3 linked regions of the Nothobranchius furzeri genome follow. The protein of the gene in region 3 binds, or shares a complex with, the protein of the main gene of each other region. Links are inferred from orthologs where the notes say so. Each region holds a gene or a part of one and is shown on either strand. Other genes may lie near its edges.

Region 1 (9,510 bases), on a different chromosome or scaffold from region 3:
GGAATTACAACTGTTGTAAACAACCCTGCTATAGCTTCCGCTAACATGCTAACACTAACATGAGCCAACTAATACTAAAATAAACCATGAAGTACAAAGATACAGACTGTTGGACAAAAAATATTATTACTTACAAGTCCATTAGCAACAAAGCCAGGTCAACATCAGTTTGTGATTTTGTAGCCTCCTTTAGCTCTCTCAGACTAGTGTTGGCCGCGCCAATGTTCACTCTGATTTTAGCGATTTGCTTCACCTCCAAAGACATTATTATCTTACTTTTACTTCCAGGCTCCGCCATGATGCCAACAAAAAAGCAAACTTCTTTTTCTTCTTGTGCTTTTTTTTTGATAATTATCAAAGTGAAAAAGCTAACTGCTAGCGTAACAGCTAACAGCTGTAAAGAAAATAAAGATCACCCCCAAGGACACCTTCCTGCTCCACAAAACTGTTAAGTGTGGTATCTGGCCAGGCTGCAGAGCGGTGTCAAATATGAAGCTGGTCAAGTTTCAAACTCAACAATCACTGAGCTCAATGTTCAAGCTCTAGCTTAAAGTAAAAAAAACAAAAATCTGTGTTTTTTTAAATAAAGCCCCATAAAGTCTCTCCTCTCTAAAAACCACAACAACCCAGCTCAAGTTTACAAAGATGAACCAGAAATTACCTCCTTTGGATGTTTGTCTGTGATGTTTAATCATAACAAACCAGACCACTGTACAAGAGAAAATCATATAATGGACTGGGATAACACGCAGATCATAAACACAGAGGAACAGAAATTCTGAAGATGGATCAAAGAAGCAATAGAGATAAAGAGACGTGGACGCAGGACTATGAACAGGGACGGAGGAGTTTACACCTTGGACCACTCATTGGACACAGTAATCAGATCAGCAGAGAAGGCACGGGCAGCAGAGGGCGATATCATCCTCTGCTGCCCAGGGATAAAAGGAAGTGATGCCATCAGCATCCCGGTTTCTCCGACAAAGGCAGCAGAGAACATCGAAAATTCACTGTATCACCTTGTGTACAGAGAAGAACTAAAGAAAATGAAATTGGATAACCAACTCAGTGCAAATGTAACAAAGATATTAAACCAAATCTATCGCATTAGAACAGCTTATACCAGCTATACAGCACGGTGGTGGTGGGTTGATGATTTGGTCTGTTCTGTGGCTAGGACTTTGATGTCTCTGAGCTGTGATTATTTTTTGTTCACTCTCATTTATTCAGTTGTAGATAATGAGTCTGAAATATTAAAATACATCCTGACAGAAATATTTTCATAACAGTGACTCCTGGTCCTACAGGGCCACCACCAGCAAATTTTAGAGGTTTCTCTGCTTCAACAGTCCTGATTTTAATCAGTGGGCGATGAATAGGCTTCTGCAGAACTGAACTGGTATTTCTGAATCAGGTGTTAAATATATCATTTTTGTGAAAGCTGCATACTTTAAGATAACCTAATGCAAAGCTGTTCTGCCTCCTCTACATGTTGCCTTTTAATGATTTTTATTTAGAATATTTTGACGAGAATGGTGCAGGAAATCATTAATGTCTATTTGATGTGCAAAATAAAAAAAATGCATTTTTACTATTTAAGTTTCAAGGCATTTAGTATGGCGGTGCAGTGGTTAGAGCTGTTGCCTTGCAGCAAGAAGGTCCTGGGTTTGCTTCCCAGCCTGAGATCTTTCTGCATGGAGTTTGCATGTTCTCCATGCGTGGCTTCCTCCCACAGTCCAAAATTGGTCTGTCTAAATTGTCTTTAAGTGTGTGTGTGCATGATTGTTTGTCCTGTGTGTCTCGGTGTTGCCCTGCGATGGACCGGCTCTCTGTCCCCCCGCGACCCCACAAAGTAGGTTCAAGGCATTTAAACCACTGAAAAGGCAAAGCTGTGGTCAGTCATCCATTACAAGATTTTAGTAGTTTACCAGGTTTTGTTTAATTTCTGATCATGATCCTCTGCATGATTTGTTTTAATATAATAAATATTTTTATGATGGGAGCTTAACACATTTTGAATGTGCACAAGCAAAGAGAAAATGCGTCCTTTCTTTTTTATTTAATTTTACAAATTCCAGAATATTTTCATAAAGTTGTGCAGAGTGCTCCTGAAACTAAAATTTGCAGCTCAGTAGATTAGTGCGCTTTTAAAGCCTCTACAGATTCAGAAATTCAAAGCAGATGATTTCTTTCTTTGGCCTTATGTTTTTGGAAGCTAAAAAGCCACACATTTTGTTTTTGAGATGAAAATTTGAGGTAAGCTCTCTTAGTTTTCAGCTTTTTCCCACAACAAACATCTGATTGAGATATGAGAACAGTTGCAGATCTGGACAAGCTGAGTGCTGGAGCTCCCCATACCTGCCGTCCGAGTTTCCTACCTGCAGCCAGCTGCATCCAGCCGCAGATCTTGTACACCGTACCGGTGCTGCAGAAGAAGAAAAGCGCGAAGCAGCCGATGCACGTAAGGACTAGAGACATGGACATGCCGATGAAGACCGAGGCAGCCTTGAACGCACCGGAGGGGATGCTGCTGAACTCGGCGAAGCTGCCCTGACAGGTCAAGTCCCGGGACAGTCCATTTCCGATGCAGTAGTGGAACAGACCGAAGTAGCCCACCTGCGGGGTGTCCGCACCGTCTCCGATCCAGTAGGGCTGGATGAAGCACACCACGTTAACGATGGCGAAAAGGATGGTGAAGATGGCCCACAGGACGCCGATGGCCCTGGAGTTCCGGACGTAGTTGGTTTGGTAGATTTTGGCAGCCTCGGAGGCAGGGAGCATGGTGGTGGTCGCGCTGGGAGCCCCGGGGACCATTTCCTCTGGTCTGTGTGGGGAGGATGCGGATCAAAGTGGCACCTGCCTCATCTGGTAATCAGCAGAACTTCCTCTGGTTCGGTTGTGTTTTCTTTCCTTACACTCGTGTCCACAGCATCAGCTGCACTGTATAGAGGCAAGGCCGGGTCCTGATTTCTGTTCTGGAGCTCCGATTTTCATTCATCAGCCTGCAGAATCGAAACGTGGCTCTGGGAAAATACGAGCGCCGGTAATCCATTTGCAGATTCATTCTCCATTTGCGCGCATATGTAGTGGAATGCAGTCCGCTTCTTATCAGGGGATGTGTGAGATCTCCCTGCACGGATCCGTCTGAGGAGCACAACCGCAGATGTCCGTGTATAGTACAGGGCCAACCCACATCCCTTAATCCCATTCTGACGTTGCTCGCGCGAAATTTCAAACACAAAGATTTAAAATGAAAAATGTACAGAAAATATGGTAACATGACTTCAGTGGCAATGAATTAGAGATTTTGCATGACTAAAAATTACTTATTTTTACTACTAAAACGAACAAAGATAAAAACACAAAGCGATCAGTGATCATTATGATTTTTCGGAATGTTTTCATTTTTAATCATCAAATCTTAATTCATGCAAATTAGTAATTTTACCAAATGAACTGATTTTTTTGCTATCTAGACTGACAAACAATCAAATATTTAAATTTAAGAACTAGACAGAGTTTGTTATTTCAACCAATATAAAACAGTGACGTATTAAAATGTTCGTTACAAAAGTAGTAGATTAAGTCAATGCTATTATTTCTGGATCATATTGTAGATAAATCCCTATATTACTAAAATACTAACCTAAAATCACCACATCAAATCCAAAATATGCTATTTAAATTGTGTTTAACCTTTAAACTACATTTCCCAGAGTTCTGAGCTCTATTTTCATTGGGTAACAGAGGATCACGTTTCTACGCAATTCGAAGGCGCGCGAGAAAATGCAGCTAACGTTTTATCCAGTTCTCTTAAGAGAAAATGCATTTTCTCATCATTTAAAGTTGCTTACTTGGTTTCTTTCAGGGTGTTAGTTTACCCCCAACTTGTTCTATCGGTACTTTCCCGACGTTAATTCTCTTTTTGGCACTTTTTCCTCCCAAATTACCGCCTGTGTTCGTCTTTTCCGCCTCGTGTCGGTGGACTTTCAGTTACAAAAAGCCGAGTTTTATGCTAACTGTCACGGTTTTAGACAGATTATTCTAAGCCTCGTGACGATTAAACCGTGCGGGCATATTTGGGAGTTGGACGGTAAGGATGACGGGGCTGTTACAGCAACCAGGATACGACGAAGAAAGGCTAAAAAGAGTCTCAGAGCTGCTGCCTTGTAGAGAAGTCCAGGCTGGGATGCTGCTGTCTCTCATGGGACAGGTAGGAACTATAATGGTGGTTTAAAAGAATCGTTGGCTTGGTCTCCATTCTCACTGTCAGCGTTTGATTGTGTTTTCTCTGTCAGGTAAACTGGAGTTTCACGTCTGTAAACCTTTGTTTCGCAGGCACATTACAGCTTGCCGAAGATGCTCATCAAATCTTTTTGTGTTAGTGCAATGCAAGTTGTATAATCTTGATGGTGTCATTTGGCTGTTTGAGCACAACGGGCTGTCCTCAGTAGAGCTTTTTCAATTTATTGCATGATTTTTCTTTGCAGTACATATTTACACATTTTTATAATATAAGTTTGCTTGAGAAAATACAATGGTACCCAGAAACCTTCATATGTTTACAGACATCTAAACCTAAATAAAAGCTGCATCAAGATGACATAATTCCCTAATGTAAATTATGTTTGGGCAACTGCAGCAAAATATATTTTGGTGTAATTCTAAAGTTATACGAGAATCTAAAAAAATATCTAAAAAATATGAAGCTGTGGGATAATCAAGAGCCAGCAGTAGCTTATTTTTTTTTTTTTTTTTTTGTGACAAAGCTATTGTTACAAGCTTCTAATGTTGTGAGTAGATGATGACATTTTAATCCTTGGGAAATTTATACATTAAAATGCAAAAAAATATTGATACAAAAATGCTATTTTTATGCTCTTCCAGCCACAGCAGTACTGCTACCCTTCAGTCTTCATCTATGGCCATCGGTCCTCAGGAAAAAGTCACGTGACAAATATTTTGATGGAAGAGTTGGAGGTGAGAGATACTTATTGTCTATGGGTGCCTTTCCAAAAAAAAATTCATTAAATGGCAAATTTCTATGCTTGTCCCTCATTTCAGAAATTGATACCCATTTATTTATTACACAGACTAAAATAGTTTATTCCTTGTAATTAGGAATATTAAAGGTTACAGATAAGAAAAACCCCAAATTCATGCTCCATAAAATAAGAACATTATGAAGGGGTGAAGGTGGCTTAGGGGTTAGGAGTTCACTCTGTAACTGGTGGTTTACTGGTTCAATCCCAGGCTGTGTTGAGTTGGCCATTGTGTCAGACTGTCAGTGGTTGGAGGGACCTGTGGCACCTGTGTAAGGGAGCCTCGCCTCCGTCAAAATGCCCCAGTTTAGCTGTGGTTACAGTGTAGCTCATCAGTGTGTGAATGACTGTAGGTTGAAGCACTTTGGAGTCCTCTAACTCAGAAAGGCGCTAATAAACAAATGCAGGCCATTCATCACTTTGACATGATCTGTATTACATCATCATGAGAATGACAAGAAATAACCGCTTGAAATAGTTTATTTTACATTTAACAAGTCTATTAGCTTTACTTCATGAAATGTGGGCTGATTATAAAATCCAGAGTTTGAGCACAATAAGTCGCCTTTCTGGAAAAAAAAGATGGTTGAAGGACAAGTGATGAACATGTGGGCTTGTTTTATTTCAGAGTTGGATCCTTACTCTTTCAGCTTGTGTAAACCTTTAAACAGACCACTGCAGAGTACTATTACAATAACAAAATATCTAGAAGCAAACAAAGCCTTTTAAATCGTGTAGAATATTAAAATTTGTAGTTTATGGATGGCTACTTTCTTGCCAGTGGTTTTTATATGGGTTTTATTATAAAGAACTCAAAGTAGTTTGTGTTTCTTCTACAAACGTTCACATAAAAGTGGTGGCTACAAAAAGTGTACATCAGGGCCTTCTTTTGTCCAGAAAAGACCCGAATCACAAATACATTCATTCAAGGTTTTTATATAAAGGCCCCAGCATACTTTTTATTTATTTAATTTGTATTTCTTTCATCAAATGTTAGAATAAAATAGACTTTATTAATCACACAGTGGGGAAATTTATTACTTTTTAAATCGGATTAAAAATTAACACAGAGTGGAGTTTTTATGTTCACCCATCTTATGACTTTTTGACCTTCACCATTGCTCCTTCTCCTCCTCAGCTTCCTCACGCCACGGTCAGCTGCGTCGAATGTGTGTCTGTTGCGTTGCTGTTTGAACAAGTGCTACTGTCCTTCTTTGGCTGCGATGCTGCCTCGCTGCTCCCTCGTAGTCCCTCCTTGTCTGACTTTGTGCGGATCTACAGGCAACAATCCTCCCAGTTTCCTGCTGAGCAGACGCGATACATCGTGAGTGACACATCTGTGTTATTTATGATGCCATCTGTTGTAATGCAAGTGGTAAACAAAGCTCCAGATGTATTGACCTGACGTTTCTGTGCCAGAAACAGTGTTAATTTGATGTAGAATTTGGACTGAAAGTGTTTTTCATTTAAACACCTTTTATTTAGTGAGTGTAAATGTTGTAAACCGAAAGTAAACACGTGGATATGTTTCAGATTATGGAGAAGCCTGAACTTCTAAGAGACGCCGATGCCAATCTTCTTCCTGCCCTCCTTCGTCTTCAGGAACTGGTGAGAAAACACAGCTCGCTCTTTGTGGTGTTTATCACCCAAAACGCTTTGTTGTTGATAAACTGCGCCGATGATGAAGAGTTTTATTAGTGAGGAAATGTCCTTGAGCTGCTGTTTGTAGAGAGCTCTTTCATAATGCTGTTAGGAAGGAAAGATGGCAACCACTTGCTGCATTTTAAATAGACTCAAGTGATGTTTTTTTTCTGTACAAGCTGTGATCCTGTTGCAGTGCTGCCACATGGGATTTTGAAGTGATAATTAAGACGTAGAATCATGGGTATGTGGAGAATGATGTAAGAATTAAAGGGGACATATAATGCAAAACTCACTTTATGCATCTTTTTTTTGCTGCCAGGTGCCAATTAGTCTCACACATGGGATAAACATAATTACTGGTCAAATTAGCATCGTCTTTCAACACACTTTCTATATACATTTACATATTATACATAATTAGAAAGCTAGGATTCTTGTGATTCCAATGATATATGCCAGTCAAGGATACAACAGTAATTGTAGACAACGTACAGGCTTTTGTCAAACCACACTGAAATTCCTCCAAAATGTTTAACTCACCACTTGAAGCCTCATCATTGACAGAACAGAGCCATCTGAAACAAAATAGTGTTTTTACATCCAAAAGGGTCCAATAAAAATGTTACTCCAGAGGTACTCAAATACAAGTCTCAATGGGCCACATTATTATCATTTGTTAACACGCTTTGATACAATTAGCTTGAATACAACTTGCCTCCTTCAATCAAGGCAAGGCAGCTTTATTCATAGAGCACATTTCAAACACGGAGGCAATTCACTGTGCTTTGCAATTATCAGGACATGATATGAAAACACATAAAAACACAAATTAGAATACACACAGATGGAATTACAGTTTAGAGCTGAAGGAGAAGACAAAGTTACAACGCAGATTACAGCGGATTTGACGCATGATAAGAAACAATTCATTTAAAGGCGATTTAAACAACACTAGGGTTGGGGCAGATCTGAGGTCAAGGGGAAGCCAATTCCATATGTGAGCAGCATAGTAACTAAATGCATCTCCACCATGTTTTGTTCTGACCCGAGGTTCAGTCAAAACAGCAACGTCTGCATCATGTCTGCATCAGTAAAATACTTCTTGTGTTTCAATGTTCACTTTTCTTTTAGCCAATAATTGAAAACACACAATAATAAGTGTGTTTGTAACATGGAGTAGACACAACCATTGCTCTTTTGTGGAGTTGACACGGGGAAGTGGACTTCTGGTTATTTAAACTTGTCATCGTCTCTGAGATCATCACGCACAAAAAGTAGCTCCAACTGAGTCAGATTACGACCGTGACTGAAGTTAGGGCTGGGCAATAAATCGAAAATTTATCGTTAACGAAATTTCAGACTTATCGCAATTTTTTTTTCCATGTCAATAAATTTGATAATAAAAAAATGAAAAGATGTGTGTAGGTTGGCAACATTCATTTTTTTAAGAAGCTGTACCACCTTGAGCAACGTAAAAATGTGACTCAACGTAATTCATGTGACAACCTCATCTAGTGGGCAACTTTTGTTTCTGCGCATACCTGTAGTTATCGTCCATTTATCGTTATGGAGGTGAAATCCTCAATTTATCGTGATATTGATTTTAGGCCATATCGACCAGCCCTTACTGAAGTGATTCAACAGTAATATTAGAACAATCCAGTGAACGAGGGTTCATTTGGTAATGTTCTACGATTCCTCTGTATTTGTCTACAACAAACATGTACATGCATTGAAAGGCCCAACTCCCACTTACCTCGCTGAACTAATAAAACTGTATGCTCCTTCTAGATCCCTTAGATCAGCAGATCAGCTACTACTGTGCATCCCGAAGATGCACTACAAATCTCGTGGAGAGCGAGCATTCTCTTTCGCTGCCCCCAAACTCTGGAATGCCCTCCCCCTCCAAATACGACAGGCCCCTTCACTAGGCCGTTTTAAGTCTGCGCTGCAAACCTATTTTATCACCTTGCCTTTGGTCATTGACCTACTTTTACTATATCTTAGGACTGATTGCCTTTGGTGTTTTATTCTGTGCTTTCCCTGCTTTTATTTTCTCATGTTTTTAGTACCAATGACACTTTTATTTGTCTATTTTTAATCTCATTTTTAGGTTGTTTGATTTTATTTCTGTTTTTACGGAGCTCCTCTGTTCCCTGCTGCTTTGCTGCTTTTAAATGTGCTCTATAAATAAACATGGTATGGTATGTATGGCAAGCCCTTTTAACATTTATTTAACAACACCTTTTTGTAATTCCTTTTCTACATAGCAATTAAATTATTTATCATTGTCTAAAGGATATTCTTACTGGTCAGTTGTGAAAGTAAAGAAATGAACATGTAGAAATTATTTTAAAGGATATTCATTCTGTAACACAATAAATAAATAAATAAATAAATAAATAAATAAAATGTTCTATAACAAAATTCAACAAAATATAAATTCTGGTCCTTTGGTCCACCTTTGTAAAATAATTCCTCCCTAATCAGTTAGCTTTTATTTATTTTTATTTATCTATTTTTTTTATTATTAAATGTTTGGTTAAGGGACGCATTGCTAATTCTATGGCGTTAGCTATAACGCCCCTGAGGACCTTGTACATCTAGGCCGTACCACCATTAACTGGCGGTTTGAGCCGTTAACTCCTGGGAATCCCATATGCCCTACCGCCGTTAACTGGCGGTTTGAGCCGTTAACTCCTATATGCCCTACCACCGTTAACTGGTAGTTTGAGATGTTAACTCCTGGGATCTAACGTCTAGCAGCCCACTGCTGTCACCTCGGTTGCTGTAATTAGCTTTTTGAATTTAATAATTTACTGAA
Region 2 (9,522 bases), on a different chromosome or scaffold from region 3:
GGAAGGGAGGTTAAATGAAAACAGATTTCATTCTCAGCTGGTTGGGTGTTGTCAGTTTGTCTATTTTCAAAAAACAAAGGAGGGACATCGTTTCGGACATCAGCTACAGTCTGTGGCGAGCTAACGGTGCAGCGCCGCCAGCATTTCTAATTCGACACTGGCAAGCTCCAGAGTTGTTTAAAGAACCAGTGCCAGTAAACAGGAGTGACCCAGAAGTTATTTCTTGTAACCCTAAGAAGCCACAACATCTTTTTGTTTTACTTGAGTGAATCAGGCTAGAGGCTAACGCTGAGCTAACAGTTATAATGGTGAATTAGGAGCAAGTACTCGGCTCTAAAAATATCTTAAGCTACTTTCTCAATTAGCAACATCTCAGTATTAAAGTGAAATGTGTGTGTGACATGAATAATGAGTCAATCGCAGCATTTTACTTCCTTTAATGAGTCGTTCAGAACTATTAGAGCAAGCTAACAGCAAGACGGCAAACAAACACACTTCCTGTAATGCCTGATGCATTACCGTAATAAGTGTAGTAAATGCTCTCTACCGTAAAATATCCAAGTGTGCGAACACCAGATGTTAGGGCTGGGCAATAAATTGAAAATTTATCGTTATCGACATTTCTGACTCTTATCGGGATAAATTGTTCCCGTGTCAATAAATGTGATAATAAAAAATGAAAAGATGTGTGTAGATGGGCAACATTCATGTCCCTTTAAGAAGCTGTACCACCTTGAGTCACGTAAAAATGTGATTCAACGTAATACACGCGACAGCCCCATCTAGTGGACAATTTTCATTTCTGCTAATACCTGTAGTTATCGTCCACTTATCGTTATCGAGGTGAAATCCTCAATATATCGTGATATTGATTTTAGACCATATCGCCCAGCCCTACCAGATATAATTATGTATTTATCTACTTATCAACTTTGCTTATCATCTAGAATCTTCTGGTGCTGATCTGTAACTGGCAAGAGCCATAAAACTCACAGAACAACAGTGAGACAGTAACTTTTTGTTTAGCAAAGTGAGCTGCAGTCACCATATTTGACCACAAGATGTCATTTTTACTTCATTCTTACATGTTGTTTATGTTGCACTTGGTTATGTATCCCTCCAGGTTGTCATCAATGACTCAGGAACATGGAAGACTGGAGCCCATCTCGGGTCATCTGGACTACAGCAAATACCCTCTTGGTACTTTGCTCTCGTTGATCCCCCACCACGTTAGTATTGTTTAATGTGACCTTTAGCAACCTGTCTGTAGGATTAAAAGAGGCTCGGTTAGAAGATTATATTCTGTTATCCAAGAAGCCGTCAGTGACGGGAGTTCCTCTGAAGGTTCTCATACTGGACATTCCTTCATGTGGTGTCGGATTCATTGTGTTGCTATTGTGTTTTAAAGTTTATTTTTATTTTATTTCAGTCCTGTGCGACAGCCATGATGCATCCCGTGTATCATGTACACTCCAAGGGTCGTCTGCTGGGGACGTGGAACCCCACCCGTGGGTGGTGAAGCCCAAGTTTTGACCTGGATGTTGTTAGATGAAGATACTTGTCCACCTAAAACAGCATATTTGTGGTTGATTAGACTGGTGTCTGGAAAAAAAAACATATCAGAGCCTGTTTTTATGAGACTTTAACCATTTTCTAAATCGATGTGTTGTAAAATTGGCCATCTTTGTTTTTACGTAATGTTATCTCTGTAAATCAAAGCAAATTTAAAAAATTTGTTTTTGTCCATTGTGTAGATAAATACATTTCAGTGAGACGAGTTGTTTACTGATTGTTTAATTAATATCATGATCATTCTTTCTGTCGCCATTTAAATGGTAGAATTCTAGCCTTAAACACATACAAAGGTTATATTTTAATGGAACATTTCTCACGTTTGATTTTGTCCCCTTGACCCTCTTGTATTATCTCAAAGGTGATGGGGGTTTTTTGCTGCCGATACCGATATCAAAGAATGCTGATCACCGATACCGATCATGTGGATTGGCCAGAAATTTTATACAACATTACAATGAGTGCTACAAACCACATAATCTGGGAATAAAGGAAATGTAACCTAATCTAAAATGGTCTGATCGGTCTGCTTTGATCTATTTTGAAAACTCCGATCAAAACCGATAGGGGCGCTATCGGCCGATTGGGATCAAATGCCAATCCATCGGTGCATCCCTAGTTCAAACCAGTGACTTAGAAATAATGGAAAATAAAGGCTTGACACCAACTATCAGAATTTGATCAGCAGTCTCCTCTCCTATTTAGGGACAATCGAAGAGACATAAAAATGTTGAGCTGCTGTGTCGCCCTGACCCTAAACCCTACTGTTATTTAATGCTGATGTTGTTTCAGTGATAACGTAGTTTTTTATTAAAGCTCAGTCATTTCAGTTTTTATTTTAAATCAATATAATAGGAATTATCAACCAGAACAAACCCAAACTTATGAGCGAGTGTATTTCCCTGCCTCGCCCCATGAGATCTCCGAGGAAGACATAAAAATGAATAACATCCAGAAGATTAAAGGAGGAATTTAGATCCACATAAAGGAGATTTTATACATGGTGGATTGTATTCATACAGAATTGAAGATGTTCTTGTCAAAAAAGTGCAGATATTGTCTTGTGTAAAACTGTATCAACTAAATTTTTGTAGTGAAAGGTGAAAAAATAAACTGTTTCAATGAGCAAAAGTGAATCCAAAGTGTTAAATAGTTTTCTAAATCTGGATTCTCACGAACAAATTTGTCAGTATAAATATAGACGCAACACTTTTGTTTTTGCTCCCATTTTTCATGAGCTGAACTGAAACCTCTGAAACTTTTTCTACATGCGGTGGGATGGATCATCTTGGTAGAGGGAAAGTGCTCACTAACACACACACACACGTAGACAGATTTCAGAATAATATTTGAGGCCGCTAGAACGAAAAGACTTAACTAATAGCAAGACATCTAAATCCCCTTTCTTTAGTGAATCTTTAACCGGATTGTGGAGTTGAATGAATACTAAATAAACAATAATCACAGCATCAAACGTGACACACACTGATTCTCAAGACTACTTGAAATTGAAACTGAATGAAAAAAATAAACATGGCAATAAAATGCCCTTTACAGATTACCAAGAAATGTGATTCTTATTGAAAATGACCACAAACTGAATGTAACTTGAAATATGGACATTAACTAATGTCAGATCAGATATCAACCTGAATCATTAAAGTATTTTAATCAGTATCCAGTCAATCCTTGTATTTAGGATTTGGTTTAATCCTAATTTATTATTTTTATAATTCATATATTATTTTTAAACATATTTGTAATCATTTTTTAAATCTTTTTATACTTGAATTTTTTGGTTTTGTGAAGCGCCTCGTGATTTTTAACTTGAGAGAAAAGATCGTTCTCTTTCTTTCTTTTCTTTACAACGTTAAACTTTATTTTCACAGTTCTATTTTCATTATTTTCACTACTTCTTCTTTTCTGTGCTTAAGCGTGTCATATTGTGTCCATTACATTTGATCTTACCTGTACAAAGTTTTTTCTACTGCTGTGAATTAGAGTAAGAATACCTGACTTGAATATTATTTGTCTGTGGACTTGTGACAGGCGGACTTGTTGAAAGGATTCTTGGGAAACGTAGTTTTACTGCTACTAGCGTTTTGATTGGCCACTTTATGACCTTTCCACTCAGTCACGTGATTTAAAATGTTCAGAATGGCGCGGAAACTTGTCACATCGCTTCTCAATTAAACTTTCCGACTTTAAAGTTTTGTTTATGTTTTAAATTTTATATTGTTTTGCGGACTTTTTCCGCCCGTTTGAGTAAGTCTCGACCTTTTGCGCTCACTTTCCTCAGCTTTAGCGCGAGAGTTCAAACCGACTCTAGTAGCAGGGCTAATTGTGTGTTTTGCTGCGTGGCTTCAGGCTTGTATCGTGTGTTTTGTGTTTATTGGTAGAAATGAGCGTGTTGGAGGTGAAGTTCGTTGGGGATGGGGATGTTTTGGAGCACATCGTGGACAAACAGGAGGGTATGAGCTGGTTTATCTCTGCTGTTTTGTTTTTTGCCCATTCGCTCTCGTTTTATGTGTGCGTGTGTGTGTGTGCGCGCGCGCGCGCGCGTGTGTGTGTGTGTGTGTGTTGTGACTAGTATTGCAGAGCAGTGCTGGCTCTGGGCTGAGGATGGTGAAGTTTAAGAGCCCGGCTGGACAGAGGGAATGCCTGGAGGAGACTCGGTGTGATGGAGATGAAAACGGAGTCCATGATGAGCTGGGTTATGTCCGAGCTTTAGGAACTGAAAACGATGAAGGTATCCCTTCCTTGGTTCTGGTTTTGTCCTGCTGCATTTTCACCCTCATCCTCCACTCTTCCATCCATAAATCTGCTCTTTGGCTTTCCTCCACGACTCCTGCCTGGCTGTTCCAGCCTGAGCATCCTTCTGCAGATTCCTCCATGTCCAAACCATCTTAGCCTGATCTTATTTCAAATCATCTAACGCAGTCCCTCTAATCCTGATCCTGTCACTCCTGAAGACAATCTCAACATTTTCACCTGCCCTGCCTCCTGTCTTCTCGGTGCCACTGTAGATCATCGAGTTTAGTATTTTGACATTACCTAATAAAGCCATAACATGAACCTAAATGTCTCTTAATGCCACTAATATGTTCTTTGGCTTCACAGAAGTAGACGATAATCCTTCTAGAGTTGCTGGTTCCTCCATCTTCACCTTCCAGAAAGTCAAACGAAGTCACAGCTTGGCCCAAACTGGTGAATCTCCGATTACCTCTCGAACGAAGGCTCAACGTTCATCTTCAGCTGCATTTATTAAACCGTTGTTTTGTTGTTTCCCTTCGTAGCGAGCGAACTGGCTCGGACCCCGGGAAAAAGCGTGAGCTTCACCAGGGACACAAACTCGGAACCCACCACTCCCTCTCGGACAGGCAGCAGTGAGTCGAGCGAACCCACTCCCCGTCCGCCTGTGCTCTCATTATGAAATGATCAGGTTTACTTTTGTCTGTCTAGGCCACGCAGGTGAAAACAGGACACCACAGAGGGTGAGAGAGCTAATACATTTCACTTTATCCAGTGAAGGATTTAGTTTGTTTTAATTTAGTTTTGTTTCTCCTGAAACAGAAAAAGAGTGTCCGGTTTGTCTCCACCACCCCTCACAGACTCAGGAAGAGACTTACAGGTACGCCTGGCCTGTTGTAGTTGTGTTCGTTTAGTAACGCTGGTGTAATCTGGGTGTGGTGGGGCTTATTTTCAGCACCAACTCTTCGGTCTGACAGCGACAGTGAACTCTCCCCCTCTGACTCTGAGGAGGACGAGCTCAAAGAAGAGCAGAGAGGGAAGCAAGAGGACAAGGAGAATGTGAAAAAGACGAGAACCCCTAGTAAAGGGCTTTCTGCAGCTCTCTACAAGACTCCTGCCAAGAGGAGCAAGAACACAGCCGAGCCTCTGAATCAGCCCACCATGACCGAGGAGTATTTTGAGGCTCATGGCAGCTCAAAGGTCCTGACGTCGGACCGGACCCTCCAGCGTTTGCACACCCCTAAGTTTGACCGGGTGTGTGAATTAAAAGTTACATGTTAGTCCATTATAATAAACCTTTGGCTAAACTCCACCTCTTTTACTTTTTGGACAGGAGACGTTGGATCGTCTTTTAGAAGATAAACCGTCTTGCTACTCAAAAGAGATCCAGCAGCTGCACGACAAACACAGGAAGCACTTTAACAAATGGATGTTACAGCTGCAGTGAGTGTGGCGGCGTGCCCTTTCCTACGGTTTGACTCTGTTCTACTAAAACGTCTCCCTAGGGGTTGTATGAACTAGTCGACTTCACGGCTCTGTAGTGACTTTTTATGCCTGTCATCGACTAGTCGCTGTCACGTGATAATGACTGACAAGATGCAGTCCTCCAGCAGGTGATGAGCCCCTGCGTCGGGAGGCGGAGGCGACGCGCTGTGCCAGAGCGTCGGTACTGACACCGGCGGTAAAACGGACATTTAACCAAACTGTGACCTTTACCCTCTTGCAATTTAACCTTCCCCTCACCCCCATCCTAATCTTAACCAGTTTGCGCATGCAAAGCTCTGATCGTTGACGCGCTCCAGACATCTGCGTCCAGAGCACCGCCAAATCAGGTGTCACCACCTCAAAAACTAACTAAACACGCGATCGTTCATGTCGGCTCATTTCCTTTCATGTTTTCTGTCTGTTATTTGTGCCTGATGCGTTTCGCTGCTGCGGAGCGAGGCTCTTCACCTGTTTTGTCCTCCGGTGACGCACCCCCAAGATTCCACTATCTCCGCTCCGGCACGAACTCCGCAGCAAAAACGGTCCCGTTGTAGTCGGCCGGCGAGCAGCGGCACTCCGCTGTTTTTGCGGTCGGTAGATCTTTTAGAACTGCAGTTCAAAGGTAACTCATAAGGTGAATATATATGAACCCAGGTAGCAGTTTTTCTTTAGGACTGAGAGGAGATGCAGGAAGATAATAAACAGGCAGGACAGAAAAATAGGCAAATAAAAACAAGTTAGTTTTTGTACCTGGTGGTTGCAACAAACAGACACCATTGAAGGTAATCAGAAGTGAGGAACAGAAAATGAACTAATTATTTTAATGTTTAGAGCAGCAGGAACTCTGAGAGGCTGCAGGCGCATCAGTGAGTTTGTGGCCGCTGCGCAGGGGGAGGGGGGAGAGGGCTGATGCAGAAACTACCGTTGTTAAAAGAGATGTTTAACTTAGAAAATTCTTTCTTTCAATTTGGGTGCAATTTTAATTGTCAAAAACTCCAGCGAACCTACCGACCCCCCCCCCCCCCCCCCCCCCCCCCCGCCGCCGCTTCAGGTGAATGACGTCATCAACGACTAGTCGAAGTCGACTCGATTTTCATTACTTGACTGTCGACTTTAAAAAAAATTAAGTCATGCAACCCCTACTTCTCCCAAGAGGTGCTTGTTGTTGGTTTGCAGGTTGGGATTCAGTGTTCTGGTTTATGGTTTGGGCAGCAAAAAGGCTTTGCTCGAAGACTTCAGGGTGGCTCATCTGTCTCAAGAGATCCACCTGGTGGTCAACGGGTTCTTCCCCTCCATTACTCTTAAAGCGGTTCGTAGACCAGTGAAAATGTGCGTTTTTATTGCGACTGTCTACAGAAAACAGAACAAACCACAGCTGTCATGTGATCGCGCTGCAGATATTAAACTCCCTGACATGTGAGGTTCTGGAGCACGAAGGAAGTTTCCGCACGCCGTCGGACCAGATCCAGTTCATCGCTCAGACCCTCAAAGGCAGTAAGTCGCTGAGTGAGCGAGACTAGTTGTCTCAGCCTTCACGTTTGTTGGATTTGTGAGTTTTACTTTTCTGACGTCTCTGCAGACCCAGGTCTCCGTGTGTTTTTACTGATCCATAACATTGACGGGCAAATGCTGCGAGGAGAGAAGACCCAGAGCGCACTGGGGCAGCTGGCGTCCTTACCAAACCTGCACTTGGTGGCTTCCATAGACCACATCAATGCTCCACTGGGTGGGTGGTCACGGGAATTAGTACCGCTGTCGGGATCACGGAGAAGCTGGCGCCCATCTCCATCAGCTCGTCACAGGGATTGGTCTGTTCTTGCACCTAAGTGTTCCTAATGTGTTTCCAGTGTGGGACCAGTTCAAGCAGAGCCAGTTTAACTGGTTGTGGTGGGAGTGTGTGACGTTCCAGCACTATGCAGAGGAGACGTCGTATGAAAACTCACTCTTGGTGCAGCAGACGGGTGCTCTCGCTCTGTCCTCCCTCACACACGTGCTCCGCAGCTTGACTCCCAACGCGAGGTACTGCAGCCATGTTGGTCCTAGGGATGCAACGATACCACTTTTTTCCAAACCGATACAATACCGATACTTGGATCTGAATATTTGCCGATACGATTACCGATACCTATACTTCTACCACACAAAAAAAAAGTTATGATTTGGAATACAGATTTTATTTTCTTCTCTGCTTTCAACGGGAAAAGACTGTGAGGTAGATAAAAAGTAAAATACATGAATAGAAATCATCACAAAACTAAATTATCAGGTGAACAGAAATGACAAGTTACAGTGAAGCCATTTTCAAGCAACTGCATTTGTATCGGTTTACTTTTACCGATACCGATACCAGTATCGTATCGGTATCTGCACCGATACCAGTATCGGTATCGGTGCATCCCTAGTTGGTCTCTTTATGCTCCCCTTCCCCCTCACTCAGGATTTCAGTCTCAAAAAGAAAAGCTAATAAATGCATCTTAATCCTGAAATAATCTTTGAAAAATCTACATTAACATGTCACATCTGTGATGTGGTGAACATCCTTCCAACGTTCCAGTTTGTTTTTCTCAAGGTTGGTTTATGCTTGACGCGTCCGCGAGGTCCGCACGACTCCGCGCGGAAAAGTTGCGTCATTTTGCGTCATTTTAACAACCACGCCCCTCCACCGTGCCTCCGCACGGCCCAGAATTTCCGCAACGTGCACCTCGGAAAATTTCTAACCACGCGGACGGACGGATGCGGAAAAACATGGCGGACCGGCAAGAACTAGTATGGCAGAGGTTCATAAATACAGACATTTGTATGATTCAGCTCTCAGAGATCACCGTGATCAACATGTTGTTAATAATTCTTGGAGAGAAATGGCTCGCACTGTCGGAAAAGACGAGGACGCTGTTAAAAATGCTGAAATGCCATGTTGTAAACAGTCATTTCTACTTCTACTATGGTGTAGTGTTGGAAGCATGCCGTAGAGCTCCATGCTGCCCCCTACAGTTTGGGAGAATATTGGCTCACCGCAGAGACGAGCCGCACAAACCATAAACGCTGCCGAGTTGTGAAGCGCGTTCCAGCCGCGACCCGCATCACCGCGCGGAAAGTGAACGCGTCAAGCATAAACCAAGCTTCAGCATCATAATTCTAAAGAGGGAAAAAACGGAAAACTTAACTGTGCTGCATTCCGGGATCTGTAGTTTTTCTGGTTGGTGGGAAGCGCGCCCACAGGCTGTCATAGTACCAGACGGGCCTGCTTTAGCGCTAGAACCGGATCTGATTACTTGTCATATTTTAGGTTTTTAACTGTCGTCTTTTACTCCTGCAGAGGAATCTTCAGACTGTTGGTGAAGTTTCAGCTGGAAAACAAAGACAACCCTTCATACACGGGTACAAAATCCTTCAGCTCCTCCTTTTCATTTCTTCAGTGTGTGACGGTTATAAACATTTGTACGCAGGGTTGTCTTTCCAAGACTTTTACCAGCGCTGCAGAGAAGCCTTCTTGGTGAACTCTGACCTCACACTGAGGACTCAGCTGACAGAGTTTAGGGACCATAAGCTGATTCGGACACGAAAAGTGAGCTTCACCTTACGTTTCCCGCTTCCGCTCTCTGTCCCAGCGTTTCTTTGCTGACTTTGCTTTTCTCTGACCTCCAGGGGGCCGACGGAGTGGAGTACCTGAATGTTGCCGTGGATGCGAACACACTGATGGACTTTTTGGAGAAC
Region 3 (9,544 bases):
TGAGTACTCATTCATGACGAAGGAGGCTTTATTCAAACACTTGTGCAAAATGCATGATTATACCAGCGAAATGATCGAAGAGCTCAAAAGAACCCCATCCAAACTGGCTCCATATCCATGTCAGATTTGCTCAAAAACGTTCACAAGAACAACGGGGTTGAGAATTCATTATGAAAAAGTTCACCGTCTGTCAAAGTCAGAAATGCAGAAGTTAAGAATCAATGCTCGAAGTCGGCGTGCATTCAGACTTAAAGATGGTTCTGTTAAAAATAATCGCCCAAGCACTGAACCCAGCACCAGTTGCACCAAAAAGTCTGCATCTGTGATCCCTATTTTAAAACAGGAACCACTTGACATTGCAATTGCACCTCAGCCGGTTATTGAAAGCAACCCAAATCTCCCTGACATCCCTTCAGGAGAGGCTGTAAAACGGATCTCGACACCAGAGATGTCAACTGTTACACGTCTACCGTCTCCACAAAACTATCTGGCTGAAAGGATGCATGAAGACGTGGCACCTCCTGCCCTTGAAAGGCCTCCAGAGCAACCTAAGGTATCTGTCACAGACAGGAGCCCAGAGGTGAAAGTGAAAGTCAGTGTGAAAGAAAAATTGAGTCCTTTAGCCAAAATAAAGGTGCAGCAAGAAAATTCTGATATGTCACAGATTAAAGTAAAAGAACCAAAGCCCTCCGCAATGTCTGCTTCGTCTTCTACAGCTTCTGCATCATCCTCCCCAGAGAAACCAAGCAGCTCTAAAAGCACACCAACAAAGGAGGAGAGAAAAGAAAAAAATCAAAAAAGGCTGAGTTTAAAAATGTGCGACACAGACAATGCCTACAGCCCGTATAGACCTTATCGCTGTGTTCATGAAGGATGCACTGCAGCTTTCACCATCCAGCAAAACTTGATTCTCCATTATAGAGCCATGCATCAGGCATCGCTGCCCTCAAGCAAAATCGAATCCGAGACAGAAAAGGTCGCTGTTGTTGATAGACAGGAGAGCATTGAGTGCATAGGAAAAGATGACGAGGTCAGGTGTCAGGTAAGAAATTGTTCCAGGGTGTTCATGGGTATCACAAGGTTAGTGCAGCATTACCTCTTACTTCACAAGTTCACCTGCGACAAAGCCACTGCCATGATGGCCAGTATGACCCTAGGAACGTTTAACTGTGACCGCCCAGAATGTGCTCTCCCTTTCAACTCCGTGGAGAAGTACATTGAGCACATTAAGAATTTCCACAAAGAGATTGCTGTGTCTGACAGAGGATCAGTTGATCCAACCTTCCGGTGCCAGTATGATGGATGTGACCGTGTGTACACTACAAAATCAAACCTCCTTCGCCACCTGATCAAAAAGCATGATTATATTTATGATCCCAAAGCGAGCGACGGAAGACGAACTAAATCAATCGGGCTCTTTCCAGGGATTAATAACGGGAAGGAGAATGTAGACAATAAATTCAAAATGAAAAAGAAAAACACTAAAAAGAAAGACGGGAAATCCATTGAACACTGGACTAGTTTTGGCAAGCCTACACTAAAAACCCACGAAGAGGCATCAGCCATGTGCACCAAGAAGTCCCCCCTGCAGTATCCGTGCATGATCATCGGCTGCGACGCAGTAGAGCGGGCTGAAAGAAACATATTCAAGCATTACACAACTCATGGCCTCACAGAAAGATACATAGAAGATCAGAGAAGTCAGTTCATTTTCTGCAAAAAGTATTCACGCTCCAGATTCAAAGATGCAAACAAATTAGAAGGAGCAGAAAGTTCTTCTTCTGAAGAGACGGAGCTTGAGGAAAGCGTGAAGCCTATTGAGGGGAAAACGGAGGAGACTTTGGTGGTGGAACAAGAAAAAGTCGAAGAGAAAGTCGAAGAGAAGGAGGACGCCAAGCTGTCCAACGATGATAGCGCAGAATCTCAAGCTTCCAATGGCACAGGAGTCGGACCTAAAAGGGGGCGTCCTAGAAAACCTTCACAGCCTACACCAGCATGTCCAGAAAGGATGCAGACCCTTAGAAACCGCTTGACTGTTAACAGTTCCGGAGAGAACTCAAATCCCGGTACCCCTTCGACCCAAGAGCAACGAGAAGATGGGGCTTCACCGGGATGTTTCAAGCCTTTAGGACTCGAGGACTCCTTCCTCAAGTTCTTGGAAACCTCAGAGACAACAGTTTCTTCTAAACGTAAAATAAATGAGAAACCCAATTCTGAGGTGCCGCACAAAAGACAACAGACTCCCAAACTGAAATCTGGAAGTAAAAGTCAAATGACGAACGACATTAGAGGTTGTGAGAATCTTATAGACTTCAGAAACCCTGTAAAGCTAAATTCTGTGAGTAATGTAAAAATTGTTATGGATAAAACATTTTCAGATGGTGCTGAACTTTTACTTAAGCAGCTACAACATATGAGACCCACGGTTATTATAAAAAAGAGGATTTTTAGTGAATCATAGCTCATTTTGTTGTTGTCTTTTTGTTTCCTACCCTGTCTTACTCAGGATTTGAGACGTTATGCTGCAGAATGATTTGTTTCTTAATGCATCAGATTTCCAACTGTTAACAGTCATGGTCACAGTTAACAATGAAATGGCCTATTTTGTACCTAATTGAAAAAATATGTCTCTGATGATTTTAACTATGTATGTTAGTTATAATAACCAGGTAAGCTATAGGGCATAGATTTTAGAACCATGTTTGTATTTATGCTTAGTACTGAATATGTTTTTTTTCTTTTACTAAATGGACACCTTTTAAAGAAAACTATGTTTTTATAAATATCCCTATGGGATTTCGAGTCCTGTTTGTATTTATTTCATCCCTTTTCAACACTAGTAGACCTATCTGTAATATTTACATGTCTTCCACAAAGTGTTCAATAAAATGTTACTGGTTCTTTTTTATAAAAGCACGAGTGAAATCTTGTCTTTTTAAAAATGTCATCAATTTGATCTACAAATACAACAACACAGCTGCTTAAACCCAGTTATTCATGAAATTGTAACTTCTTGAATTAAATAAACTTTCAAAGATGATCTCATAAACCATTTTAATTTATAGCACATTTAAAAACGGCATGATCAAAGTGCTGTACACGGAAGGATTAAGATTCTGGGAAAGGGATAAAATGCAGCATTCACAAATTGGACGAAGCTAGAGCCAGTTTAAAAGATTTAAATTATACTTTATTATAATCTGCAGAATCACATTCATAATGTATTGTCAATATGTTTACTTTATTCATAAGTAGTTTATGAAGCTGTTCTGAATTTATAACAAGCTCCATTTTTATTTTTATTTAAATTCAAATAAAGCCAAATTACTTTTAATCTAAAACTAAAAGATGTGGTAAACAAGACTAATACACATTGTGGATTACATGCATTTTATAATACACAGAAAATGTGTTTAATATTTGAGTCATTCAATTTTTAGACAGCTTTGTGATATTTAAATATAAACACACAAAATAAAATATATGTGTGTGATCACGGTTACATTTTGTTGTCTATTATATTCTATGGCGGCATCTAATTATATGCTATAGCGGCTACATCTAATTATATGCTATAGCGGCTTGCCATACATTCTAACACTTCCAACCTTTTCCGTAAACGTCACTCTGGCGGGAAGTCGCGGCTACGTTTCATGAAAAGTAGCGTTTTTTTAAAAAAGAAACTACTACAAAGAGTTTGAAGAAAGATGGCCACCTCTTCTGTTTCAAAGGTAACTTCTTATAGCTTGTTGTCGTTCAACGACGTTTCTATTAACAAAAATGGAGACCTCGCGATATTTGCGTCAGACTCGACTGTGTTTTGCTGTGTCCCTTTAGGGCTGCTTTGTTTTCAAGCCCAGCGCTAAAAAGAAGAAAAAGACCCTTGATTTGGGTGAGCTATGTTACATTAGACAGAGAAGAGTTGTTAGTTGGATCTGTTTGTTGCGATATAAACGTGTCTGTATTTTTACACAGAGAGCTATTTCACTGATGGCTGTGAAGATGCACGGAGCAGTGAGTTGAGATTCGAGCTCTGCCAGGATCTGTGGGACCAAATCAAAACTGAGACAGAAGTAAGAACAAATTATAATATCAAAAAAATACAGAGAATGTGCAGATCAGCATAATCTTTTTTTTTTAAATAAGATTTTACAGGATGAGCTCAACAGAAAAGTTCTGGACAGTTTGTTGGAGTTCACCAAAAAATGCTCCTCCATCCGCCATCACAGTGACTGGACCTCACAGATGAGAGCAAGTGAAATTCCCACAGCCGCTCTCATCCTTGGTACCCAGTAGTTATTGTTTTGTTTTTTCAAGCTGCTAACTTGCATTATTACAAAAATCCCGCAAGCTGCATTTGACTTTCATCTCTCACTGCAGGCGTGAACGTCACAGATCATGACATGACCTTCCAGAGTCTGTCTGAGCTGCTCCAGACGTCTGTCACCCCCCATGTGGCGTCTGTGCAAGCCAAAGAGTGTGGAGGTGATGGGAAAAGCTTCAAAATATACAAACGCGTCAGGATTTTACTGTAAATGTCACAATATTCAGGAGTAGACTTTTTGGTTTTATTATTTCAGCTCTTAAGCATTTGATGAAGAAGGTTCTGGAGAGATTGATGGACACGGTTGTAGCTGTAGGTGATGATGATGATGATGAGGTGGAGGAGGAAACGGAGCAGCACCACAGGAGTGTTCACTGCTCCTTGACGACTCTCTGCGATTGGTATAGTAAGAAAACAAAGGTGAGGACACGACGCAGGTCCGCTCATGCAGGTTTTTAATTCGGCGAGGTGAAAACAAACGTTTTCTTGGGTTTAAGAAATCCAGCAGTGGAACTCCCGGAAAAAAGCGCAGTTCTTTGGTCGTTAACGAGCAGCAGGAGCCTCCGGTGGTGATCGTCTTCAAAGATTTGGAAGCTTTTAATCCGAGAGTTCTTCAGGACTTCATCCTTGTCTGCAGGTGACTTTAGAGCAGACACGTGAGAAGCTCTCACGGTTTACGTTGGAAGGTTAAAACTGCGTCTGATGATTGATCCACAGCCGTTACGTTCAGCGTCTTCCCCTGATGTTTATCTTCGGGATCGCCACGGCGCCCAGCACCATCCAGCACATGCTGCCTCACTCTGTGTCCTCGCTGCTGTGCATAGAGCTCTTCCAGTCCCTGTCCTGCTCTCAGCATCTCACCACCGTCATAGAAAAGGTGCCTTCACCGTGACATCTGTGCATGCTGATCGAAGATTTTGAATCTGATAAAAGTCCATCCCTTCTTTCCAGTTGATCCTGACACATTCTTTTCCCTTCAAACTCAACGGGAAAGTGATGCAGGTGCTGGTGGGCATCTTCCTCTACCACGACTTCTCAGTCAAAAACTTCATTAAGGGCCTGCAGGTGAGGATCGGGGTCTAAACGAGTAAGGTATGTAAATGTAAGGGACTGATTTTCTCCCGACTATCTTCCCGTCCTGGGTGCAGCTGGCCCTGCTGGAGCACTTTTACTCGCAGCCCCTCAGCGTGCTGTGCTGTAGGAAGGAGAAGGCTCTGCTGAACCTGAAACACCTTCGCCATGATGACCTGGAGAGGGTCAGGCAGCTCCCGTCGTTCAGGAGGTGAACAAAACCAGCTGAGATGATCATTTTCTATAACTGAATGAAAAAAAAAAAAGCTCTTTGTGTTAAAATTCGTTTTTAGGTTTGTGGAAAAGCAAGAAATAGAAGAGCAGGAAAAGCTCAGGACGGATGACTCTCATTTAAAGGTTTGTTAAAGATTTCAGTTTTTAGACGACTTTTTTTTTGTGCACAGGATTTTATCCTTTTTGTGATTTTAGAACGTTTGTCAAAAACTGATGAAGGATCTTCACAAATACCACAAGTGCTATTATCCCATTTTGAGGTGTCTCCACACTCTGACCTCATCGTTGCCTCGATACCCTCTCGGAAAACAGGCAAGAAAACAGTTTTAAACTTTCATTTAAACCATCTTTTTGCTTTGGTCTCACTTCGTTCTTTGATTTTTGGAGTCTCCTTTTTCTTACTGCTGCAGATCAGGGAGCTGCACTTGATTTGCCTGGAGAAGAACGTGTGGGAGGCGGAGGAGTACCAGTCAGCTGTGAATCTTTTAAAGTAAGCTGAGCTCAACATAAAACTTGTAATTTTTTTATTTTTTGAGGCATTTCTATTTAGCTATTTTGATGTAAACGCAATGCCATCTCTCCATTCAGTTGCAGCCAGTTAGATTTGCCACTAGGTGGCGACAAAGTTGTGGGATTTTTAGAGGTGTTCCTCCCCCTGGTGGTCAGTATTTTTGTACTTTTTTCTTCAGGATGCTGGCGAAAGACGAGCTGATCTCTTTGCTGCAGAAATGTGCAGAAATCCTGCAGCCCATCAGGTCAACTCAGATGAAGAGTGCTTGCGTCCAACTGGAGGAACTACTGTCCAAATTCCAGCAGCTGGATGGTAGTTCAAAGCAGGATTTTTAAGTTTTTTTTTAATTTATGATCATAATCTTTTGTTGTTCACACAGCACCTGCTACTGATCAGAGTACCGCTTCAGAGGAAAACTTCACCTCTCCAGTAAAAAACCTTCCAAAGAAAACAGATCTATTCCAGCTGCAGAAGGTACGTCCATCAGACATTTTTTTCTGTTCTTTGACGAAATACTTTTTTAAAGCCGTTTGGACATTTGATCTACTTGCAGACGCTGCTGGAGTCTCGCAGATCCAGGAAAAAGAGTCCGTTTGAGGCTCTACGTAACGAAGCTCTGGACTTTATCGACACTTTAGTGAAGTAAGAAATGAAAAATAAAACTTAGATCCACAAGAGTTGATTAAAGTAACAGAATAGCTAATTTAATGTGTATTTGTGCCAATCAGGAGTCACCTATCCCCCCCAGAGTCTCAGCCGCTGTATGAAGTCTGCTACTACAGTTCTTCAGCTGCTGTCAGACGCCACCTCAATGCTGCACCTCGCACCTCCATTCAGGCTGCACTCAGCAGCCCCTACCACTACCTTCAGGTTCGTCTTCATAAAACAACAGATTGCTCCTGTGGACGACGGTCAGATGTTGACGGTGGCTTTATTTTCAGAATGAGAGCTTAAAGTCCGACGACGGCACAGTGTCCAACTCTGCTCCGGATATCTGCATCGCATACAAGCTCCACCTGGAGTGCGGCCGACTGATCAACCTCTACGATTGGCTGGAGGTGAGTGAGACGAGCGTTTAGCTCCAGAGATGAGCCGATTTTCTGTCGGAGAGGTTTTGTTCGACTGTTTTTGTTTTCAGGCGTATTCCACCGTGATTTCTGCTGCCGAGGGGACCGATCCAGACTCCGACGGCTTCGGGAAAGTGGACGAAGTCAAACAGCATCCTTTCTGATTTCAGTTTCTCTACTAAATCTGAAAATTTTCAGTTAGAAAAACAAAACTAACAGTTGAGCAGCTGAAGTTTTTATTCAAACAAGAAGGGAAACATAGTGACACTTCAGGGAATTCACTTGTTTCACATGTTGAAGGGTTACACACACACACGCACACGAAGCAATTATGTCATTTTACTTTTTGCCCCTAGAAAATGTAACAGTCCTTGACAGCAGATGTGATCAGACTGATTTCATGGAAATCAGACAAAAAGATTTAAAATTTGTTTTTCCTCAACTTTTCCTTTCAGCGCTCGTTTCATCCGCGCCGTGGCTGAGCTGGAGTTTCTGGGCTTCATCAAGTCCACGAAGCAGAAGACCGACCATGTGGCTCGACTCACGTGGGGAGGCTGTTGATCTAATCTTCAAGGGGGGAAAAAAAACATAAATCTGTGGTTTTTGTGCTAAGTTGGACTCAAACGCACAGTTTTTCTGTAAATAAAAATCAAATGTCCCTGATTTTCTTAAGAGATATCAGTAAGGGGTGGAAATCTAATTAAAAAAAAATTAGCCCTCACTTTATGCCTATTAAAAAAAAGAAAATCACTAAAGTTCTTGCACTCCCTTTCAGATTGACCAGCAAATCCTATAAAATGTTAGAGATTTCCTCATATTTACATGCAACAAGTCTGGAATGCTGGGAGTCATTACAAAAGTAAGATAGCTGGAGGGACAGAGGCCACTGGTGGAGACGGGGGCCGCTCATTTACATCAGGAAGGACACGGCTGCTTACAACACACTGCCAACAACAGCTTCATTCAAACCTTGTTTTGCCCAACAGACGTATGGCACGGTAAAAAGTTTCATTTAAACTAGCTAAAATCAAATCTCTCCCAACGAGGAACTCTTAAGAAGCATCATGACGAGCTCGCTTCCTGCAAAGCGTCGGTGCCACACTCAGGAAACATCTGGAGAAGAGAGATGAAATACACAAACCAGACCCGTTAGCTGAATCCAGGCCAGTGGAGCAGGAATGTGGAAAGAAAAAAAGAGGAACTCACAGCTCGCCGGCTGCTCTCCGAATCGTCGCATTAACTGATCGTGTGTAAATTTCACAAAGGTGTCGTATTGTTCTGGAATTTCAGAAAGGAATCGGTTAACGCTGCCGTCACTCAGATGCAACACGTTAAAAAGGAGAGGTTGGGGAATTTAAAAGCATGTCTGGTGAACTAAAATGTGTTACAGAACATGCTCCATCTGATGGTTTCAGCAAGTTTGTGATTTATTCCTGCAAAACAACAGTAACCTCAGTTTAACTGACACTCTGGACATTTTGATCAAACACCAGTGCTGGGAGCGTTGCTATTAAAAAGTAATTATAGTTACGGATTACTTTGTCAAAAAAGTAAGTCAGTTACAGAGTTACAAGATTATAAATGTAACTAATTACCAAGAAAAATATTTTGTTCCTTTTTTATTATTAAAGCAAGAAAAATGGGGTCCCTTCTTAATTAAACTTAATTGACTATAAATTATAATAGTGAAATATAAATGACTGGAACACAGTAAAACATATGTCCAAGTTTTTTTTTCAAAAAACTGAATCATTGAAATAAATGAACACTTAACAGGAGGAACTACTAACGGGAACATTACACTTATCTAGACTTTTAAAATGTCACTGTGTGATATTTAACAAGACCCGAATCAACTAAAATTTACTATTGCAAATAGAAACACATGTAAAGGTTCCTGAGCCTTTAAATGGTCTCTCAGTCTAGTTAAATTACTGAAATAAATGTAATTTTGCACAGCATTCTAATTTGTCCAGCTTCACATAACTGTGTGTTTTAGTAGCATTTCTGTTGCTGATCTAGTAATGGTTAAATAAATAAATAAAAATCCTTTAAAATGACACTAGAAGAGACACAAATCTGATTAAATTTACTAACTTGGGTCAGACCCAAACACAGAAGAGCTGAAGCTGGGTGGTAAACACACACACAGGTAGTTCTGGTAACACCTTGAGACTGATGCATCAGTGTTACAGCGGGACTAAAATGATCAGAAACAGGTCACAGCTGGATGATCTAGGAAGGTAGAAGATCAGGACGTCCGAGCGGTGAACAGGTGGGCGGACCTTCGGGACATCCTGCTCAAACTCTGCGACTTCCTCGCAGCGCAAATATTAT

The links.
Region 1: the proteins of orc3 (region 3) and orc5 are in contact, whole or in part, in a cryo-EM structure (PDB 7JPO), measured with the Homo sapiens proteins. The link is inferred for Nothobranchius furzeri from reciprocal best matches to the Homo sapiens genes ORC3 and ORC5. Residues at the interface, in NP_036513.2 of Homo sapiens: Glu99, Val109, Met144, Lys145, Leu148, His178, Ser180, Met181, Asp182, Glu223, Asp232, Ile235, Ile236, Gln239, His240, Ala253, Thr254, Ser255, Pro256, Ile257, Ile258, Ile259, Arg261, His265, Ser269, Cys272, Ile273, Glu274, Leu275, Ser280; in NP_002544.1 of Homo sapiens: Asn62, Val64, Glu65, Phe67, Thr68, Arg70, Leu71, Gln75, Tyr129, Leu270, Arg271, Ser274, Ser275, Ser276, Gln277, Leu294, His297, Thr298, His299, Val300, Glu301, Leu302, Pro303, Tyr304, Tyr305, Ser306, Asp360, Tyr367, Arg373, Pro376.
Region 2: the proteins of orc3 (region 3) and orc2 are in contact, whole or in part, in a cryo-EM structure (PDB 7JPO), measured with the Homo sapiens proteins. The link is inferred for Nothobranchius furzeri from reciprocal best matches to the Homo sapiens genes ORC3 and ORC2. Residues at the interface, in NP_036513.2 of Homo sapiens: Thr3, Ser4, Ser5, Met6, Ser7, Lys8, Gly9, Cys10, Phe11, Val12, Phe13, Lys14, Pro15, Arg20, Ile22, Ile26, Tyr29, Phe30, Lys32, Tyr47, Val111, Thr112, Lys139, Asp318, Lys326, Gln329, Leu330, Leu333, Tyr337, Glu589; in NP_006181.1 of Homo sapiens: Leu239, Glu242, Tyr243, Ala246, His247, Asp268, Arg273, Leu276, Val279, Ser280, Phe283, Glu286, Leu287, Leu290, Lys296, Leu297, His299, Lys300, Met302, Leu303, Gln304, His306, Leu307, Phe309, Tyr314, Gly315, Leu316, Arg320, Glu324, Arg327.

The regions. Positions count from the first base shown.
Region 1 is NC_091741.1:42,933,435-42,942,944, forward strand, and holds the start of orc5 (origin recognition complex subunit 5), read left to right. Parts: upstream 1-3,962; 5' UTR 3,963-4,099; coding exon 4,100-4,213; intron 4,214-4,887; coding exon 4,888-4,980; intron 4,981-6,180; coding exon 6,181-6,366; intron 6,367-6,575; coding exon 6,576-6,650; intron 6,651-9,510. Other genes in the region: lhfpl3 (LHFPL tetraspan subfamily member 3 protein), read right to left, coding at 2,379-2,814. UniProt on the Homo sapiens protein: Component of the origin recognition complex (ORC) that binds origins of replication. DNA-binding is ATP-dependent. The specific DNA sequences that define origins of replication have not been identified yet.
Region 2 is NC_091751.1:63,945,538-63,955,059, forward strand, and holds the start of orc2 (origin recognition complex subunit 2), read left to right. Parts: upstream 1-3,700; 5' UTR 3,701-3,837; exon of another isoform or gene 3,838-3,971; 5' UTR 3,972-3,973; coding exon 3,974-4,043; intron 4,044-4,162; coding exon 4,163-4,321; intron 4,322-4,692; coding exon 4,693-4,779; intron 4,780-4,868; coding exon 4,869-4,958; intron 4,959-5,034; coding exon 5,035-5,066; intron 5,067-5,145; coding exon 5,146-5,203; intron 5,204-5,278; coding exon 5,279-5,577; intron 5,578-5,656; coding exon 5,657-5,766; intron 5,767-6,984; coding exon 6,985-7,117; intron 7,118-7,205; coding exon 7,206-7,302; intron 7,303-7,387; coding exon 7,388-7,534; intron 7,535-7,655; coding exon 7,656-7,827; intron 7,828-9,124; coding exon 9,125-9,186; intron 9,187-9,254; coding exon 9,255-9,373; intron 9,374-9,453; coding exon 9,454-9,522. Other genes in the region: zgc:162816 (D-serine dehydratase), read left to right, coding at 1,124-1,229, 1,430-1,519. UniProt on the Homo sapiens protein: Component of the origin recognition complex (ORC) that binds origins of replication. DNA-binding is ATP-dependent. The specific DNA sequences that define origins of replication have not been identified yet.
Region 3 is NC_091758.1:29,123,484-29,133,027, reverse strand, and holds orc3 (origin recognition complex subunit 3), read left to right. Parts: upstream 1-3,611; 5' UTR 3,612-3,707; coding exon 3,708-3,731; intron 3,732-3,837; coding exon 3,838-3,892; intron 3,893-3,975; coding exon 3,976-4,073; intron 4,074-4,146; coding exon 4,147-4,285; intron 4,286-4,380; coding exon 4,381-4,485; intron 4,486-4,580; coding exon 4,581-4,744; intron 4,745-4,821; coding exon 4,822-4,961; intron 4,962-5,041; coding exon 5,042-5,201; intron 5,202-5,275; coding exon 5,276-5,389; intron 5,390-5,472; coding exon 5,473-5,606; intron 5,607-5,688; coding exon 5,689-5,752; intron 5,753-5,824; coding exon 5,825-5,941; intron 5,942-6,039; coding exon 6,040-6,119; intron 6,120-6,318; coding exon 6,319-6,452; intron 6,453-6,519; coding exon 6,520-6,614; intron 6,615-6,693; coding exon 6,694-6,782; intron 6,783-6,868; coding exon 6,869-7,010; intron 7,011-7,081; coding exon 7,082-7,198; intron 7,199-7,278; coding exon 7,279-7,358; intron 7,359-7,662; and 3 more. Other genes in the region: znf292a (zinc finger protein 292a), read left to right, coding at 1-2,461; akirin-2, read right to left, coding at 8,310-8,320, 8,414-8,485. UniProt on the Homo sapiens protein: Component of the origin recognition complex (ORC) that binds origins of replication. DNA-binding is ATP-dependent. The specific DNA sequences that define origins of replication have not been identified yet.